Arabidopsis thaliana: one gene and its partner. The protein of the gene in region 1 purifies or fractionates together with the protein of each later gene. This does not show direct contact. Each region holds a gene or a part of one and is shown in the gene's direction. Other genes may lie near its edges.

Evidence for each region.
Region 2: the proteins of ftsh10 (region 1) and PHB2 purify together in Arabidopsis thaliana (affinity purification with mass spectrometry, with the first as the bait; one study listed by BioGRID). This does not show direct contact.

Annotation. Positions count from the first base shown.
Region 1 is NC_003070.9:2,302,302-2,307,497, forward strand, and holds the start of ftsh10 (FTSH protease 10), read left to right. Parts: upstream 1-2,133; 5' UTR 2,134-2,481; coding exon of another isoform or gene 2,482-2,730; 5' UTR 2,731-3,387; coding exon 3,388-3,438; intron 3,439-3,524; coding exon 3,525-3,756; intron 3,757-3,851; coding exon 3,852-3,920; intron 3,921-4,156; coding exon 4,157-4,290; intron 4,291-4,396; coding exon 4,397-4,879; intron 4,880-4,979; coding exon 4,980-5,196. Other genes in the region: AT1G07500 (uncharacterized protein), read right to left, coding at 2,482-2,730. UniProt on the Arabidopsis thaliana protein: Probable ATP-dependent zinc metallopeptidase. Involved in the assembly and/or stability of the complexes I and V of the mitochondrial oxidative phosphorylation system.
Region 2 is NC_003070.9:978,529-983,931, reverse strand, and holds PHB2 (prohibitin 2), read left to right. Parts: upstream 1-1,929; 5' UTR 1,930-2,159; exon of another isoform or gene 2,160-2,369; intron 2,370-2,771; 5' UTR 2,772-2,774; coding exon 2,775-2,945; exon of another isoform or gene 2,946-3,037; coding exon 3,038-3,154; intron 3,155-3,576; coding exon 3,577-3,747; intron 3,748-3,828; coding exon 3,829-4,041; intron 4,042-4,132; coding exon 4,133-4,321; 3' UTR 4,322-4,625; downstream 4,626-5,403. Other genes in the region: FLA9 (FASCICLIN-like arabinoogalactan 9), read left to right, coding at 564-1,307. UniProt on the Arabidopsis thaliana protein: Prohibitin probably acts as a holdase/unfoldase for the stabilization of newly synthesized mitochondrial proteins.

The DNA of each region.
Region 1 (5,196 bases):
AATCAAATGAAGTTAGCTGTATAAAATAAAGTTGTTTTCATGACAGAAAAGCTAAATATTTCATGTTTTCTTGAAAACATTCTATAATTGTTTTTGTCCCCTAGTAGTTTTAAGAGATAAAGAAAGAATCTACATATATCATGTACAAAAAAGATATGAAAAATGATCAGTGTATATAATTCATTATTTTTTACTACATTAATTAATTTGAGTTTTAGTCTTAAATTTTATGTTATAATCATGGTTAAGCAGTTTTCAACAAACTTCGAAGGTTAATTTCCTTCTCAATTATTTTCTTGTATTTCAGTCCATTGAGTTGTATGAATATTTCTTTACCATATATTACTATGAAATTTTATATTTGATTCGATTACATATGTTTCAAGATAATTCAGTATAGACCGTAAGACGTGGGTAACCCGTAATCGCATATATTATATGCACACACTACGTTTTGGTGTTATACAAGGACGACGTTGTTAACATAAATCAACCGTCACATGAGTGAGAGAGCACAATAAATTTTATCAATAAAACTGACATAGTGGGACAGGAATCACAATGAAATTTGTAGAGGAATCACAATGGAATACTATTTTATCAATAAGAGTAAAGCATTTTCACAAAATGCAAGATATATATTTTGGAATCATGCCTACGGCTAAATATATAAGATCCAATTGAAAGAAGAGGGGGGACTCAAGTATTCCGCTTAAACACTGTGCCTTGAATAAAACTACTTGTAAATGACAAATTACATCTTTTGGTTAGACGAAACTGAACGTTTTTTATAAGATGGAAATTATCTTTCATTGGTATAGTGGTTGATGTTAATATAAGAGACATTGTCTCTAATTTGTCTAGAAACGTCTAAATTCAAGGAGCGGACTTGTCTCTCAAACAATTTAATGAATCAGTGGTCTACAATTCTAAGAGTTTTTAAAATTTTTGAAAACATTAATATATTTTTGTAAGAGGGCCATTTGGGAGTGTTTGGAGAGAAAGGAGCAGAGAGGGACGGGGGTAAAGTGTTTCTTACGATAAATAATTTGAAATCGGGGCCAAGAGTAGACAGCTTTGGTCTAATAATATTCCACTTGTTTTTTTCACTTATGTTTTCAAAAAATTATGGCTTTCTCGAAATTAACTCACTCCATTAATTACACTAAATAAACATTGTGTTGTACTTTCTACCATTTTTTTCAATTGGTAAACTGTCATGTTAGTTCATCCTCTAAAAGTCAGTCACAATCTAATTTCTAGTGTTGACGTCACCATGTTAATCACAGAGATGATCATGTTTTCTAGTATGTATATATGAGTACACACATTGTTACTTGTGAAGAGGAATGATAGATTTTGGTGTCGAAATTGCTTGATTTATGAGGGTCAAAGTGACCGTTGTTCCAAGTTTGGCTGGTTTATGTGGTCGGATTATAACGTTAAACGCATTTGCGTGGTTGGAAGCATTTATGTGCATGGTTATTAGGACAAGTTGTTTGTTTTGCTCTTGCGTTAGTTAAACAATCAAACATTTGAATTTTTGTACTTAACAAAGGGACAACAAAAGTTTCAAATCTAGACTCCTTTCTTTAACGATATTTGTTCATGGAAAAACATGTTTTTCAATAATCGTGAAATCTTCAATTGGCTCTAATACCATTTCAATTTTCAATAATCGTGAAATCTTCATTAAAGTGAAATGTGATACATGATTAAGCTTAAATACAAAGAAAACTTAACCAAAGATACTAACCAAACTAAACCATAACTAAAATTATATATATACACTCTAATAATGTTAAAAGATTATAGCATCCACAATTCAACAAAAATGTTTTACCCCCACCCACTATATCATTGAATTATGGACCGTCGCACTCTTCTCCGGTCGTGGTGAACCGGCTTTCAACAGATTAATGTGTTTTCGACTATAAGGTATGCAAAAATTTGCTCCATATGATCAAAGTGACCAAGCAGATTTTGAATCAGTATTGGTCCTCGGACTAGATATGTATACCACACAACTTTAAGCCAGGACTTGAAGACTTTCTTTAAGAGTTTCCATCCCTCGTTATGCCATATTAACCCACATAGCTTTCAATTTATTCTTGGAGAGAAAATAACTAGTGTAGCGGTTATGAAAACTTAAAACGCGTCCATGACTACAAATAATACAAAGACCATTTCTATATTAAATATAGAAAAACACTTATATTTTTCCCAACCTGACAGAAAACAAACAAAACAAAAAAGGAATAATTAACATCAAAAGTTCAAAACCAAACTAGTTCAACATAAAGTTCATACAAACATTGTTCTGCGTATCCTACATGACTACATCCAAAAAAAGAAGCCGAAACACTAAATATATATACACACACACCAACGGGACAATATAAGTCACAGAGGAGTCACAATCTAATACACACACACCAACGGGACAATATAAGTCAAAGAGGAGTCACAATCTAAGCGCAACTAGGTTGCCGCTTGGGAGGCTGCTACCACCGAGAAGAACAAGTCTAGATCCGGCGGCTGAAAATATCCCTTCTTCGGTGGTTCCCTCTTCTTCCCAAAGCCTAGTAGCGATCTCTTCCTTCTCACCGGAGGTGGACAAGGCGGATATGCTGGTATCCGGCAATCATCACGTGTAGGCGTCGTGCATCCCATCTGATAATCATCATCAACCGTCACCGTATCTCCGTCGTCGTAGTTTTTCTCCTCCATTTTTGTCCGCTCTCTCGCACTTTCCTAATAAGGTTCTTAATTAGATTGCTTCTTTATTACACTAGTTTTGGAAGTGACCGTAGCTTGTTCTGGAAGTTGCTAGGTACTTGCGGTCTAGAAACTTACACGTGGAGGAACGTACTGCCACGTGCTAAAGCGTAGTTATATTCAGGTGGGAATAGTTGCCACACATACCCCACTCGAGTCAAATGCTCGTTTATAATGTGGCTTAGTTAAAACGAAGCCCATTAAGCTAAACAAGGGCCCGAATTTACTGGAGCTAAGGCCATTAACCACGTTAAAGATTTGCGAAATAAATAACCGGTTGGTTTTTAGTTGAAAGACTAAACCGGTTGAAATAATCCACGGAACAACAACATATGTTGGAGTCTGGAACGCGTTGATGTCTTGGTTCCCAAGCAGCTCAAAAGTGTGACATAAATTGTTGTCCTCAACAAACACCATAAAAATCACAAATTTCGTTCTGGGCTCTTTATTTTTTTCAATCACCACATTTTCACTTGTTAAAATTTTGTTACTTTGCTCTATCTGAAACCAAAGCTGCCATCTTTCTCCTTTTGGGTTTTGATTAGATCTCCGATTTTGGGTTTCTATATATTATGCGAGCTCACTTTTGTTCGTTCTGATTATCTGACAATGATATTCTCCAAGCTTGGTTCTTCCCTCGCTCGATCCTCACGTTCTAAGGTTCGTTTCGTTGTGATGCTTTTTTTCCGACGCTTGTTAATTTTGTGTTTAATTTCCTATTTTTTTCAATTTTCCGGTGAAATTAGGGATTTGTGTACGGCGGTGGTGTGAGATCGGCGGTATTTAACCAAGGGAGGTTACGAGCGCCGCAGAATCTCGAGGCGGCCGTCAATCAGGTGGATGGTGGATTAGGGTTTTTGAGGCGGCACTTTGCTTCTTTTGCTGCTCGAAAGGGACTAGAAGCCGGTGATTTAAGCCGTGCTTTCGCTAACCCTAGATTGCGTCGGTTCTTTTCTAGTCAAACCCCAAAGAAGAAGAGTATGTAGCAAACCCTAAATTTTTATACGGATCAAATTAGGTGTTCACAGTAATTTGAGAGAGAATTGGAAGCCTAAATTGCTTTTCTTTTGCAGATTATGAGAACTACTATCCAAAAGACAGTAAGAAAGCACCCAAGAATGAGCAGAAATCTGAATCCAGAGGTGACGGTTTATGTAACATTCTCGTATTTTTGGATGTCGAATCCATTTGGTACTATGGAAAAGAAATTGAGTAGACTAGTTGATACATTTGAGAGTTTCGGGAATCATTTTATCGTCTTATTGAATTGATAATTAGGCACACAATTGTAGGATTGTTGACAACTATTCATTTTGAAAGGATTGTGAAAGTTTGTTTGAAGATTGTAGTAATTGAATATGTATTTGTTGCGATGCAGATGGTTCAAAGAAAAATGAAAACGAAAATGCTGGGGACGCGTTCTCAAATGAATATCAAAATATGTTAATTCCTCTTATGGCCATTGCTTTAATCCTTTCTACTTTCTCTCTTGGTTCCCGAGAACAGCAACAGGCAAGCATGTCCAACTATACTCTGTGTATCATGTTATCTATATAACTGCAGACGTGTGGGCCTGAGGAATGTCAACTAATTATCCGTGTTATATTTGTTGGTTCAGATTAGTTTCCAGGAGTTCAAAAACAAGCTCCTCGAGGCTGGTTTAGTGGATCACATAGATGTTTCCAATAAAGAAGTCGCAAAAGTCTATGTGAGGAGTTCACCAAAAAGCCAAACAACGGAAGAAGTTGTTCAAGGTCCTGGTAATGGAGTTCCTGCTAAAGGACGTGGTGGTCAGTATAAGTACTACTTTAATATTGGTAGTGTTGAATCATTTGAGGAGAAACTAGAAGAGGCCCAAGAAGCTATAGGCGTTAATTCTCATGACTTTGTTCCTGTCACCTACGTCAGTGAAACTATCTGGTACCAGGAACTATTGAGATTTGCACCGACTTTACTTCTCGTGGCTACGCTAATTTTTGGGGCAAGACGGATGCAAGGTGGACTGGGAGGTTTAGGCGGACCTGGTGGGAAGGCTGGCCGTGGAATTTTCAATATAGGGAAAGCTCAAATAACGAGAGCAGATAAAAACTCCAAGAATAAGGTCAGCATTTCAATCAGGGTGGAGAAGTTGAATTACCATCTTCATTTCCAATTCATGATGCTATTGAGATTTACTACTGATCTATTTTGTTTTTTGCCAGATATATTTTAAAGATGTTGCGGGATGCGAGGAGGCTAAACAAGAAATTATGGAATTTGTGCATTTCCTTCAGAACCCAAAGAAATATGAAGATTTGGGAGCTAAAATCCCAAAAGGTGCGCTTTTAGTTGGCCCACCCGGGACTGGAAAGACCCTTCTAGCAAAAGCTACTGCAGGAGAATCAGCTGTACCGTTTCTCTCAATATCTGGTTCAGATT
Region 2 (5,403 bases), 1.3 Mb from region 1:
CTAATGATGATATAGTGATGATACTATCTATAAAAAAAAAGTTCTGATTTAATAGGACCTATCTAGGTGTAGGCTTGTAGCAATACCAAATGTAGAAGGTTTTATGTCCAAGGATTTTTCAATTTTCTCCATTTCATTCCCTAAATTCCTATCCCGATTTACGTCCACCTTACACCGTAAGTTGTGTTGTCGAACATTATCTTCCACACATATTTTATGTAAATTATTGACTCTCTCGATCCCATTACATGTGATGTGGGCTCTACCTACGGTTCCACCAACCTCATATTCTAATCTAATATTTTTCTCATATGCTAATTTTAAATACTAAACGAATCTTAACGGCTGATATATTCGTATATGAATTCATCTACACAACATTTATGTTAATGATATATCTCTAGTCTAGACATTATTTGTCTACAAACGTTTTGTATTGACTTGGCCATCTCATTCCAACAAGATACAACTCATCACTCCAAACATTCAACTTCCATATAAACCATTCCCTTCCGATCTCACTTTCCAAATCACTCTTCACACTTTAACTAAGCAAACCAATAATGGCTACCACTCGTCTAACTCTAGCTCCTCTCCTCCTCATCGCAGCCGTACTACTCGCAACCAAGGCAACGGCTCAGCCGGCAGCCCCCGCTCCAGAGCCTGCTGGTCCCATCAACCTCACTGCGATCCTCGAAAAAGGTGGTCAATTCACTACTTTCATCCATCTTCTAAACATCACTCAAGTCGGTAGTCAAGTGAACATTCAAGTCAATAGTTCATCCGAAGGTATGACGGTGTTCGCACCAACAGACAATGCTTTTCAAAACCTTAAACCCGGAACCCTAAACCAGTTAAGCCCTGACGATCAAGTTAAACTCATTCTCTACCACGTTAGCCCCAAATATTACAGTATGGATGATCTCCTCTCCGTGAGTAACCCGGTTAGGACTCAAGCTTCTGGCCGAGACAACGGTGTTTACGGGCTTAACTTCACCGGCCAAACAAACCAAATCAATGTCTCTACTGGTTATGTGGAGACACGTATTAGCAATTCGTTGAGGCAACAACGTCCTCTCGCAGTTTATGTTGTCGACATGGTTTTGTTGCCCGGTGAGATGTTCGGAGAGCACAAGCTTTCGCCGATTGCTCCTGCCCCTAAATCTAAATCCGGTGGGGTTACCGATGACTCCGGCTCCACTAAGAAGGCAGCGTCACCGTCGGATAAGTCAGGCTCCGGTGAGAAGAAAGTCGGACTAGGGTTTGGTCTTGGACTTATTGTCTTATGTTTGAAATTTCTCTTTTGAAAATTTAATAGCAAAGATTTGTTTTGCTTTCTATTGATTTTATCCTGCGATGTGAGGTATAAATATGAAATTTGTTGATTAAGTTCCGTGAAATAAAATGTGAGATTTTTAATAACATACGTCGTCTATAGTTGTCAATTGTGCCTGTCGAAGTGGATAACTCTTTTCTTGGCGAACCCAAAACAACAAATTTGTGATGTGAACAAAATATTTTGTTAACTTAATTACTAAAGTACGTATACAATTGATGAGATGCTTATTTGTTTTCTGTTTTAATTGCAAGTTCCATTCACGACATTTTAACTCTAGCTACGTGAAAAATGGATCGAAGGATCGGTAGCCGATCCGAAAAACTAGCCATCACATGCGATTACTAGACATAGATTAGTAGTATTATTTAATTCTGACCAGCAGTATAGATAGTATTCATAATAATAAAGTGTTCAGATAATCGTTTTACTGTAACACGCTTTAAAATAAACATGATAATAACTACCCAGTTGCCATTAAATTATAATTCATCGTCCTTAGCCCATGTGATAATGGGCTTAGTGAAACATATTTTAAAATAATGGGCCTGAGCAATGTCTTTAAAATTTGTCAAACACTTGAGGACGGAAAACAAAAACATAACTAAATGCCTAAAATGGGCCTCTCGAAAAAGATAATGTGTTTAATGAACCATATTTGAAAGTAATGGGCCTAAGCAAATAGGCACGAACATACTAGAAGGTAGTTTGCCAATGCATATCTGACCGATTTCTCATTTCTAAAACCCTAAGCTTCGCCGGCAGCTCCGATCGTGATCTTTCATAAATCCTACCATCGCCGTCGATTAAGAGCTGAGCTCAGGTTTATCTATCTGCTTTTTCCTCCCAGTTTTCACTGTGTTTCGTTGTATGCTCTGTTTGGTTGTCGATAGTCACACAGTGCCTGATCGTCGGTCAATTTGCTAATCCTTGTGTGATTTAGAGTTGGAATGATCATTTGGTGAAATCTCGTGGATCTTTTCTTGTTGAAAGCTTGTTGACTTGCTCGTCATATATATTCGACGATCTATGGGTACTGTATCTAGTTGATAATGTTCAAAGGCTTGATCGATTTTAGCCTTGGGATCTGCTACCGATGCTTTCAATTTCTGACGCTTTTCTATGCGATCTTTTCGAATTCGTTTTTCTCTCCAGTTTTTGCCATGTCAATTGATTCTCTTAGTAACACTACTTCTTTGTTTGCTCTCTTGGATTTTTTGTTTCTTCTGAAATGGAGGCTTGTGCATTGATTGTTCTATGTGTGTGATTTCTTATGCGGTGTTAAGTCCTTTGGATCTTCGTATAATGATGTTTTTAATCTGCTGACAAACGAATTTATCCCTGCGGCGTTTTAGTTTGCTACATATAAAGTTCTTAGCTGTGAACTGTTTCTCCTGGGTATCTCATTGCGGTTTGAATTCTGTTTTGCTATCAGGAAATGAGTTTCAACAAAGTTCCCAACATTCCTGGAGCTCCTGCTCTCTCTGCCCTTCTTAAGGTCAGCGTTATTGGTGGGCTCGGTGTCTATGCCCTTACTAATAGTCTCTACAATGTCGATGGAGGACACCGTGCTGTCATGTTCAACCGATTAACTGGTATCAAGGAAAAGGTTTGTATTTCTCAAACTAACAAGATGTACTTTTATATCTGAGGCTTTGAATTCTAAGAAAGCGTTACTTTTACTTGGATTTGTGTTTTCAGGTGTACCCAGAAGGCACACATTTTATGGTGCCATGGTTTGAAAGGCCAATCATCTATGACGTTCGTGCACGACCTTACCTTGTAGAGAGCACCACTGGTAGTCATGATCTTCAGATGGTGCGTTTTGGTTTCTTCTTCTTTTGGCTTCTTTTCTGTGTGTGTTTGTACAATATTTAGCCCAGGGATTTAATTTTAAATGATGTTACTGAATGTGGTGCTATATAGATCATACTAGATATTCCTTCTTTTGACGTTATGTTAAGACCCTTCAATGCAGCATTAAGAGCATGTTTTAGAAAATTTTGGGTGTGGTTTGAGGTTATGGAGCTGTAGATTAAATATCACTTACTCTTTTAGGATATTACACGATCAATGTTGATCCTTATATGAACTGTGTGAGTGTATGGATAAGTGGAAAAACAAGAGACAAGTTACACTTGCTTTCAGTAGACTTAGGTAGAGCAAGAAAGAACTTAGTCTCCATTTTCTTTCTTAAAGGAGTTGCTGTGTTTCTGATATTTTTCTTGGGTGTTGCACAGGTGAAAATTGGATTAAGGGTTCTCACACGTCCCATGGGTGACCGTTTGCCTCAGATTTACCGAACCCTTGGCGAGAACTACAGCGAAAGGGTTCTTCCTTCCATCATCCATGAAACCCTAAAAGCAGTGGTAGCTCAGTACAATGCAAGCCAGCTCATTACCCAGAGAGAAGTACGTATCTCAACATTCTTTTTCTACAACTTTTCTGCTCTTTTGTTTCTAATGGTGGACTCTGTTTACTCTCTCCTCTAGGCTGTGAGCAGAGAGATACGCAAGATTCTGACAGAGCGGGCTTCTAACTTTGACATTGCTCTTGATGATGTCTCCATCACGACTCTGACATTCGGCAAAGAGTTCACCGCAGCTATCGAGGCAAAACAAGTTGCTGCTCAGGAAGCTGAACGGGCTAAGTTCATTGTGGAGAAAGCCGAACAAGACAGGAGAAGTGCGGTTATCCGTGCGCAGGTATAGCATTGGTGATCTTGATTGCAAATCTAATGACATGAGATTAGTGGTTTTGGCCTGAAGCATTAGCTCTTTTTGAATCTTTGTGCAGGGAGAAGCTAAAAGTGCTCAGCTTATCGGACAAGCAATTGCGAACAATCAGGCATTCATCACTCTGAGAAAGATTGAAGCTGCGAGAGAGATTGCACAGACCATTGCACAATCTGCTAACAAGGTTTACCTGAGCTCCAACGATCTGTTGCTTAACCTTCAAGAAATGAACTTGGAGCCTAAGAAGTAAAAGAGAAGGAACGAGTAAGTTTCTTCATTTCATATTCATTTCATTTAAAAGATCTCTCCGCCTTGGAAGTAAAGGATGGGTTGGTGTTTGACCAAATGACCCTTTCTCGTGACTGATTCTGAAAATAGTCTTTAAGAGGACATATTGAGAGAGACGCAGATTGGCTTTGGTCAGTATTATTCATCATTTTCAATGAAACTTTTTGTTGATATTTTCCTGTGTTTCCCCGGACAATTGATGAAGTTGAATTTAAAACTCAATAATATTCATATGATCTGATCTATGCCAATAGTTCTTTTTAGTATATGTTACATACGACATGCTTATATAAATATCCGAATATAAGATCCGTACCAATCCTTTCATAAAACTTAAATATAAATATTTCTTGTTAGCTTGCTATTCAAATTTTCTTTTTTCCACTAGTTGCCAACCTTATCTACCTATAAGGATTTGTATTGGAGAGCAGAGAAAATAAAATATTGCATACGTATAATAAGATTTTGTATGAGCAGAGCAACATGGACCCTTTGTATTTAATGACGTCTTGCCGGCGCCACCATGATAGAGACGTCTTTTTCTTTCTTTCACCGGTGAGGAGTTTTATGGGGGTGACGAAACTCCGGCGAATTTTCCGGTGACGTCAAATTTTAAAATTTTGACCAAGTAAACTCTTATTTCAATATTTGTATATAACCGACGGCTGCTTTTTATGATGTCATGTATAATTAAAATTAGCTGGAAACGAGTGATGACCGTTAACCAAGATAATAAAATGTTTTGAGCAATAAATAATTCCAAAAAAATAAAAGCGTTGTGGATTAACAAAAGACGGAACGACTTGCTGTTTCGTAAAGTTAAAGGGAGACGTCATGTCGTTTTGTCACCATGAGGGTCCATTTTTTTTTGTCAGTTTTTCGTACTTCTCAGCTGTTTCTTTTGACGAAAGGAGTTGTTAGATTTTCCACAGAACTGTTGACAAGTCATCACCTTGGCTTTGCGGAGTTCGTGACGTATGTGCAACGTATTTTCGACCATATCATAAGTTTAACTAATCCTAGACAAGATGTTCAAAATGTATA